2 linked regions of the Canis lupus familiaris genome follow. The protein of the gene in region 1 binds, or shares a complex with, the protein of each later gene. Links are inferred from orthologs where the notes say so. Each region holds a gene or a part of one and is shown on either strand. Other genes may lie near its edges. The genes, in order: UBE2O and NAP1L1.

Region 1 (4,385 bases):
TTTCCAGGAGTGTGGTTCTGTAGCCTTAGTAGTCTGTATACTACCCAAAGAACAGGAATCCTGCCTTTTTACAAGAACCCAAATACTATAATATTGAACCGTCTTCCTAATTTCTCATGGATGGTCTTGCAGAAAAATGTGGGGATAAAATGATTTTGACTGAGAAAGGTTAGGGCCATATCCTGAGTATTCTTAATTTCCTTCTAACAACCCATTATGAATCTGTCCTCTGAGAATGTATCTAAATCTTTTGGAACTTCCTTAAGGGACACATTAGTATAATTACTTTTTATATTTCAAAATGGCAATATGGAGCAAACCCGAAGTATAACAGTTCTGTCTGTCTAGAATTTTAGTCTAGGAAAGGAGGGCAGAAGTATTATAGGAACGGTTAAGCTTTATGGAGGGAACTGTATGTCAGGCACTGTTCTGTTTCCTTCAATCCTCCCAATTGCCCAGTGAACCGGGTACTGCTATTATCACGCCGATTTTACCGATGAGGAGAGAAGTTTATCAGCTTCCCTACTTTTGTAAGACTAGTCAGTGGCAGCAACAAGAATTGGAACCCAGGGGCAGCCCGGATGGCTCAGTGGTTTAGTGCCGCCTGCAGCCCAGAAAGTGATCCTGGAGACCCAGGATCGAATCCCTGCATGTAGCCTGCTTCTCCCTCTGCCTGTGTCTCTGCCTCTCTCTCTCTGTCTCTCATGAATAAATAAAATCTTAAAAAAAAAAAAAAAAAAGAATTGGAACCCAGCTTCCCACTCCTCACTCACTGTCCCACCTCTTGCCATGCATACTAAGTAAAACTCATGGAGCTGGGAGCCCCTCTAGGTGGGTTTAAAGCCAAACCATAGAGGCCACTAATGCTTGCTTATCTTTCTGACCTCTCTCTGTACCTCCTTCACCAACCCCTTGACCCCTCCCCGAGGGATCATGACCTTCCAGGCTCTGCATAGAAATTTCCTAGATACACTCTATACATATCTTTTGTAGCCTTGCTTACAAGCTGCCTTGGAGTTGCTTTTTAGCTATTTAATAGGCATATGTTTTGTCTGCCCAACTAGGCTGTAAACACCTAGAGGACAGGGCCGGCATCTTGCTCCTTCTGACCCCTCCCAGCGCGTAGGACTGGGCTGGGGACGCCTAGCAGGCTCGTTAAACGTTGTTGATTTGCCTAGGTGCCCCCCGCACTTCCTCCTCCGGGTCCCCACCCAGGGGCCCCGCTCCCCTTGCTTTCACCCCCTCTGGCCCCGCCCCTCCGTCGCGGAGCCCACCTTTTCCCCCGCCCCCGGCGGCATCTCCAGCGTCCCCTAGCGACGAGGCGAGAGCTCCTAGCAACCGCATCTCGGCTCCCTGACGACGGCGGCACGCAGGCCACGTCAGCGCGCCGTGGCCCCGCCCCCGCGCCGGCTGGCCCCGCCCCTCCGTGCCGCGTTCGCCGCCGCCGCCGCCGCCGCCACCGCCGCCGCCAGCACCGCCGCCGCCCGAGACTCGCGCAGAGCAGTTATGGCGGATCCCGCAGCGCCCGCGCCCGCAGCTCCGGCTCCCGCCCAGGCCCCGGACGCGGCCCCGACCCCGGACGCGGCCCCCGCCCCGCCGCCCGCCCCGGCGCCCGCCCCGGACTCGGCCTCCGGGCCGTCCTCGGACTCCGGCCCCGAAGCCGGCTCGCAGCGGCTGCTGTTCTCTCACGACCTGGTGTCGGGCCGTTACCGCGGCTCGGTGCACTTCGGGCTGGTGCGCCTCATCCACGGCGAGGACTCGGACTCGGAGGGCGAGGAGGAGGGCCGCGGGAGCTCGGGCTGCTCCGAGGCGGGGGGCGCGGGCCACGAGGAGGGCCGGGCCAGCCCGCTGCGCCGCGGCTACGTGCGCGTCCAGTGGTACCCGGAGGGCGTCAAGCAGCACGTGAAGGAGACCAAGGTGCGGCGGGCGGGCGGGCGGGCGGGGGCCGGCGCGGGGCCCGGGCTGCCGCAGGAGCCCTAGGCCGGGGAGGGAGGCTCGCGAGGCGCTGGCCGGAGTGGTGCAGCTGCAGTGGGCCGAGGCGCGGGGCCGAGCCTCCGCCGAGGGGACGCTCCGGTGCAAAGTCATTGCACCAGCCCCGGGCCGCCGGGCCGCCGGGCCGCCGGGCCGCGGGCTTCCCGGCGCGGAGGGACTTCCACGCCCTGCGGCGCGGTGGTTGGGCCTCAGCATTCTACGGGGACCCACTACAGCGGGGCGGGGGGGCGGGGGAAGAACTCGTGAGGCCCCGGGGCACGCTCGGATCACACCAGTGCGGCGTTTCGCTGACCCCCGAGTTGCTGCCTACTGCATTGTGCATCCGGAAAGGCAGGCCGTGCCGGGGCCGGACGGGCAAGGGCTGTGGGCGTTCCAAAACAAAGATCGAGATGAGCCTCTCCGGCGGCATAGAAAAACCCAAGAAGTTCCCTAGTTGACAGAATGCGTTATTATGGCCGGAGAAAACCAACCTCTTCCCCTTCCCGCCCCCCACCTGACCCCGCACCTCCTTTTCTTTCTTTTTTTTTTTTTTTAACCTTGTTGCCTCGTCTTAATTGCTGCAGGGAACTTTGTGAGTAAAATCATTAACAATCAGAGCCGTGATATTAATAGTACGGGGTGGGGGGGATGTGACAGCTGCGACTGGGATTGATGACTCCCAAGTGCAGTTGGACTTTTTGAAAAAAAAAAAAAAAATTACTATAGAAGCCTGGATGGAGAAGAGCCACCCCGTTTGGAAAGCGAGGGTTGTTTCCTGACCTGAGGTGTCAAGCAAACATCAGACCCCCTTATGGGCCCTTGGGGTGAGGCTGGTGAATATTACAGTTTTAAGGACAAAGGGGTTTATCGTCTTAAACCTGAAACCTTGAACCAAGGTTGGTTTGGCGGCTGCTGCTTCTGTCTTGTTTTCCTGAGTGTGAGTTCCTATCAGTGATTCACACATGCACGCACACACCCCTGTATCTTTCACCCCTTCTTCGTCTCCTCCTTCTCCCCTTCAAGAAAACATTTCTAAGCAGGAATCAGGCCTGGGCTGTTGACAGGTCTGATTTCAGGGGAGGGCACTTGAGAAGTTAATCTGGGTTTCTCATACACTGGGAGACAAAGGCCACAGAGGAATAGGGAGGGCTTCTTGCCATACTACAGAGGGGGGTCTGTGATCACTGCTCTGGCAGGAGAAAAGGCCCCACTCCCAGGAAGAGCCTGTGATCCACTTCCTGGTGGCAAGTGACTGTTGTTACGAGCAGGGTCTTCCTCCTTGCCAGCGCGTTTGCACCCACAGAACAGGGAGATCCGCATCCAGGACCCCTGGCTTCCCCTCAGAGAAACGCGAATCAGGCATTAGTTGCTCTGACTCGGGAAGAAAATTACAAGTTCGTGTGCAAAAGTATGTGGAAAATAGTACTTTTTATAGCGGAAGGCTTGTTTAAAAATTACCACCAGCGTTGTTGTGTGGGAAAGAGAAGATTTTTGCTAGTGTTTCTGCATTGCCTTACTAACAAATGGTTGCTCATGTCTTTCTGTGGGTTTTTGAGAAATGTCATTCCCTAACCATCTTCTCCAGAGGTTTGTGACTTTTGGAATGCAACTCATTTCACTGTGTCATGGCCTCCTGCCCTGGGACTCGGGCGGGCAGGCCAAGCTCGCTGCCGGGAGCTGCCATGTTTATCAGTGGTTGTTCCTGTTCATCTTGACTTTGGTGGTTAACTTTATTTACAATTATGCTCTGTCTGCCTCCTCCCACCGTGTGTGATTATTCAAAGTTTGACTCAAAATACCGATTTAAGAATTAAATTGAAAGTAATTTTTAGGTACCAGCTTGGATATATTTTGAAGCTGCCCTCTTGTGATTGGCTTTGAATTTGTTGAAATCCATCGTGAGTCCAGTGGTGGTGGTGGTGTTTTCTTTCCCACTGTAGTGTCTGTAGCTTCTGAGCTTATCAAAAGCTAAGGGGCATAGGAACTCCAGGAAGTGGTGGCACATAGTATCCACCTGAGGATGTTAAGACCCAGTTCTTCTTTTAGGAATTAAGACTAGGTTTGGAGAATGTGGAGGTGTGTATGCCTGATAGGTGGCTATAGGTTACCATGAAGCCTAGGCACAGGTGACCCCGACTAGGGTGGTAGGGTGGGCCCCGGGACCTTGCATTTTAGGAAGTGGTAGGAAGATTTTTTTTTTTTTCTTCTCATTTCTCACCCCTTATAAATCCATGGAGGTGTCAGGGTGCTGTAAAGGAAAGACCATTAGACCAAAGTTGACCACTTAGGTTCTGATTCCTGCTCCATAACTAATTTGGTTATCAGATTTAAGGACCTAATTACTGATAGAATAATGTGGTGACAGTATTGAGAAACATATTTCTTTTTAAATCTGCCACCTATTGGAATTGTTT
Region 2 (3,810 bases), on another chromosome or scaffold:
TCACTGGATGTAAGTTAGGAGATGGTAAGATTTTATCAAGTGATCTAATCTAGTTATTCAATAATTTATGCTGTTATTTATCTAGGAGGAGCTAAAAGAAAAAGCCAAGATTGAAGATGAGAAAAAGGATGAAGAAAAAGAAGACCCCAAGGGAATTCCTGAATTCTGGTTGACTGTTTTTAAGAATGTTGACTTGCTCAGTGATATGGTTCAGGTAATTTTATTCATTAAAAACATCAGTTTACCTCAAAGGGTAAAAACCTTTGAAATTTAAATGGGTATGATGACTAGTCACTCCATTGTTGACCTCTACAGAATGATTGCTGTCTTTTGAAAACTGTTACCTGTAGAAGGAAAATTGCATCTTCGATTATTGTAATCAAATTATAGTTCATTTTCAAGTTAGATACTGAAATAGTCCCTTTGACAGTTGTTTATCATTGAGCAGTGTTTTGTTTAGTCTTGTGTCTTCTCTGTTTAGGTGCTTGGTATTAGAGAGTGGAGAGAGGAAACTTAAAATTTCATTTATCTTACCAAAAAGACCTTTTCAGTCTGAAACAAATATTGAGGAACATTTGCATTTTAAAGGAATAACATAAAGATCTTTAACTCCTTTAACTCCTTTACTCCTTGTCACTTTTTTTTGAAATCCAACACAGATGTCACCTTCTCAGGGAAATTTCACCTGTTGTAATCAGATGCATTTCTTGAGCCACTATTATCTGCATTATAGTACTTTTAGTGTACTTTAGTGATAGAAGTCAAGAAAAAGAAATCTCAAAACTGTGACTGCTTATTGCATTTCTACTTTGGCAAAGTACAGAAGGACCCAGCAGAATGAAAGGAATAAGAAGCAGCTGGAAAAGGAAATGTTTTTAAAGCAAATATGCCTTAGACTTGGTTTTATGTTCTTCAGCCCATTCGGTCTGATGATAGATATAATTCTCTGTTAAGTCACTTTTTTTCTACCATTGGCAGTAGAAATGAGTAGAGCTTATAAGTAAACTATAGCTTTGGTATAAAACCATAATCTGGAGAGTAGGTCTTACGGTTTGTAATTGTTACCTCACTATATAAATGTCTCAGTCACCTAAATGTTTATTGTCCAGTGGTAGCACACTAATCCTGAAGTGCTACGTTAGATTCTCATTTTAGTTTTCTTAATTTGCAGGAACACGACGAACCTATTCTGAAGCACTTGAAAGATATTAAAGTGAAGTTCTCAGATGCTGGCCAGCCTATGGTAAAAGAACTTTGAAATATTTTTAGTTTTTTAACATTAGACATTTATAGGTAGATATATGGAACTTTCTAAAAAGTGATATTCTAAGCCTAGAAATGGTGAGAAAGAAGTTGGTACTCTTAATTATTGTTAGGAAATAAATGTTTGGGTGTTGGTAATTATGATACAGTATTTATTCCTTTTCCTCCCTCTGAACATAAAACTGTTATTGAAATATAGTAAATCCTTGTGTCTAGATGAAGAATAGATAAAAATGATAGCAAGGAAAAAAATAATAGCACCCTGAATACCTACTCTGTCTTAAAAGGTGTGTGTCTGGAAATTACATGAAACAAAAGATGTTAGAGGCCCCCTACTTCCCCATGATGAAAGATCAGCTATGAGCTTCTCCTAAAATCATCAGTATTATGTGAAGTATGGGCAAAGCTACTACAGACTATAGATTCTTTCTTCTATCGTGTGTAGTAAAGTTGGGCTATTTCTCTGTCACATTTGGGGTAGGAGAAGATTTAAAGTCTTTGTAGGGATGAAAGGAGGAGGGAGTACTAGGTCAGTTTATTTCGTTCTAACCTATTTATAAAAATGCTACTAAATAGAAGTTGTAAGTTGAGCTAGGTTTTATTTAGTTTTATTTTGTGCTTTGTTTTGCTTTTTTGCCATAATTTGGGGTTTATCTGACCCATTCCCGGAGCAGAAAAGGCATTATCACCTACTTTATGTGGTTGTAAAAATCAATAGATTAAATTTCACTTAATAAAGCATGAACATTTATGATGCAGGAGTTTCATCAGTTTTTTTTTTTTTTTTTTTAAGAGTTTTGTCTTAGAATTTCACTTTGAACCCAATGAATATTTCACAAATGAAGTATTGACAAAGACCTATAGGATGAGATCAGAACCAGATGATTCTGATCCCTTTTCTTTTGATGGACCAGAAATTATGGGTTGTACAGGGTGAGTTTAATTTTACTACTTTCACAGAATATTCTATGTCTTATTGTTTTACTTACGATTTGTGATATTTAGTGTTTCCTAGTGTGTATTTGATACATAGTTTAAACATTTCAGAAAAGTGTTTCTTAGACAAGCATACCTACTTTCCTAGAACTCCTTGGCTTATGGTATTGCAGACATCTCTGCAAAGGAGAACACTTAAATTTACTCTATTGTGAATTTGTGCTACTTGTCAATAATTTTGTTGAGAAAATGTGTTTAGAAATAAAATTTTCCTCTTTATGTATTGCTATTGAAAGCATTTGAGCCAATTTCCCCCCCTAAAATTGGTAATACAAATAATATTTGGGGTGCTTGGGTGGCTCATTCAGTGAAGCGTCTCTTGGTTTTGGCTCAGGTCATGATCGCAGGGCTGTGAGATTGAGCCCCCGTGTCCCAGCCCAGAGTCTGCTGGAGACTTTGTCCCCCTTTGGTCCTCCCCTTGTTCATGTGCAAGAGTGCTCTCGCTCTCTAAAAAAGAAAATCTCAAAAAAATATATAACATTCGATTGGATAAATCTTAGCTCTTCCAGCAATTAAGTGTAGTATGTTAATTGTGATAGATTCTTCCCTTTGTTTTGCAAGGTGCCAGATAGATTGGAAAAAAGGAAAGAATGTCACTTTGAAAACCATTAAGAAGAAGCAGAAACACAAGGGACGTGGGACAGTTCGTACTGTGACCAAAACAGTTTCCAATGACTCTTTCTTTAATTTTTTTGCCCCACCTGAAGGTAAATAGTGTCTTAGTTTGGGTATTGATGGTTGTTTTATTGTAAGCTTTTTAAAAATTCCTTACTCATTTGAATTCCTTTTCTCAATTTTGCAGTTCCTGAGAGTGGAGATTTGGTAAGTTAAATCGTTATTTATTTGTTGAATTGTTCACTGTGAAATTTAAAGAACTGTTTCTCAGATGTGGGGAGTTGGATAGTTGCTACTCACCTGAGGCTTGCAGTGCATGAAGAAGACCTGTATCCATCTGAAATTATTTCATTCAAAATGCACGGAGTGCTTTCACTGAGAAATGCTGAAAGGCTAAAGACTTTTCTTTTGAGGCTTGTGGGGGCTTCAGGTTCTTAAGATGATAGTTTTCTTATTGAAACTCGGATGTATTAAGTCATTTGGACTATTTACTCCTAACCACATTCTGGTTAGAATCCTTTCTGTATTTGTTACTCCAGTGGAAACACGCTTTCATATTGTGGCCATGAATTATGTGACCCCATAGCCAAGAGCTTACTTATTAGTGCCTGTGTTACAGCCTGGAATGAGGAATAACCTCAAAGAAGTCTGTGCAGGCAAGGGTGTAAGCTAGGTATGTGTTTTGAATTTGCTTTTCTGTTGGGCAGATTTAAAAAAAAAAATCTTTATTCATGAGAGAGACACAGAGAGAGGCAGAGACACAAGCAGAGGGAGAAGCAGGCTCCATGCAGGGAGCCCAATATGGGACTGGATCCCGGGTCTCCAGGATCACGCCTTGGGCCAAAGGCAGATGCTCAACTGCTAAGCCACCCTGGCGTCCCTCTGTTGGCCAGATTTTTGAACTTCTATTAACTCAGTCTAAGTTTTATACATATG

Evidence for each region.
Region 2: the proteins of UBE2O (region 1) and NAP1L1 are in contact, whole or in part, in a cryo-EM structure (PDB 7UN6), measured with the Homo sapiens proteins. The link is inferred for Canis lupus familiaris from reciprocal best matches to the Homo sapiens genes UBE2O and NAP1L1. Residues at the interface, in NP_071349.3 of Homo sapiens: Ser225, Asn226, Val282, Lys283, Pro284, Val285, Lys289, Ser290, Lys291, Phe292, Arg293; in NP_001317160.1 of Homo sapiens: Arg333, Arg337, Thr343, Gly344, Glu345, Ala346, Ile347, Asp349.

What each region holds. Positions count from the first base shown.
Region 1 is NC_049230.1:5,155,256-5,159,640, forward strand, and holds the start of UBE2O ((E3-independent) E2 ubiquitin-conjugating enzyme), read left to right. Parts: upstream 1-1,506; coding exon 1,507-1,917; intron 1,918-4,385. UniProt on the Homo sapiens protein: E2/E3 hybrid ubiquitin-protein ligase that displays both E2 and E3 ligase activities and mediates monoubiquitination of target proteins. Negatively regulates TRAF6-mediated NF-kappa-B activation independently of its E2 activity.
Region 2 is NC_049236.1:19,274,111-19,277,920, reverse strand, and holds part of NAP1L1 (nucleosome assembly protein 1-like 1), read left to right. Parts: intron 1-85; coding exon 86-214; intron 215-1,171; coding exon 1,172-1,243; intron 1,244-2,056; coding exon 2,057-2,196; intron 2,197-2,820; coding exon 2,821-2,966; intron 2,967-3,061; coding exon 3,062-3,081; intron 3,082-3,810. UniProt on the Homo sapiens protein: Histone chaperone that plays a role in the nuclear import of H2A-H2B and nucleosome assembly.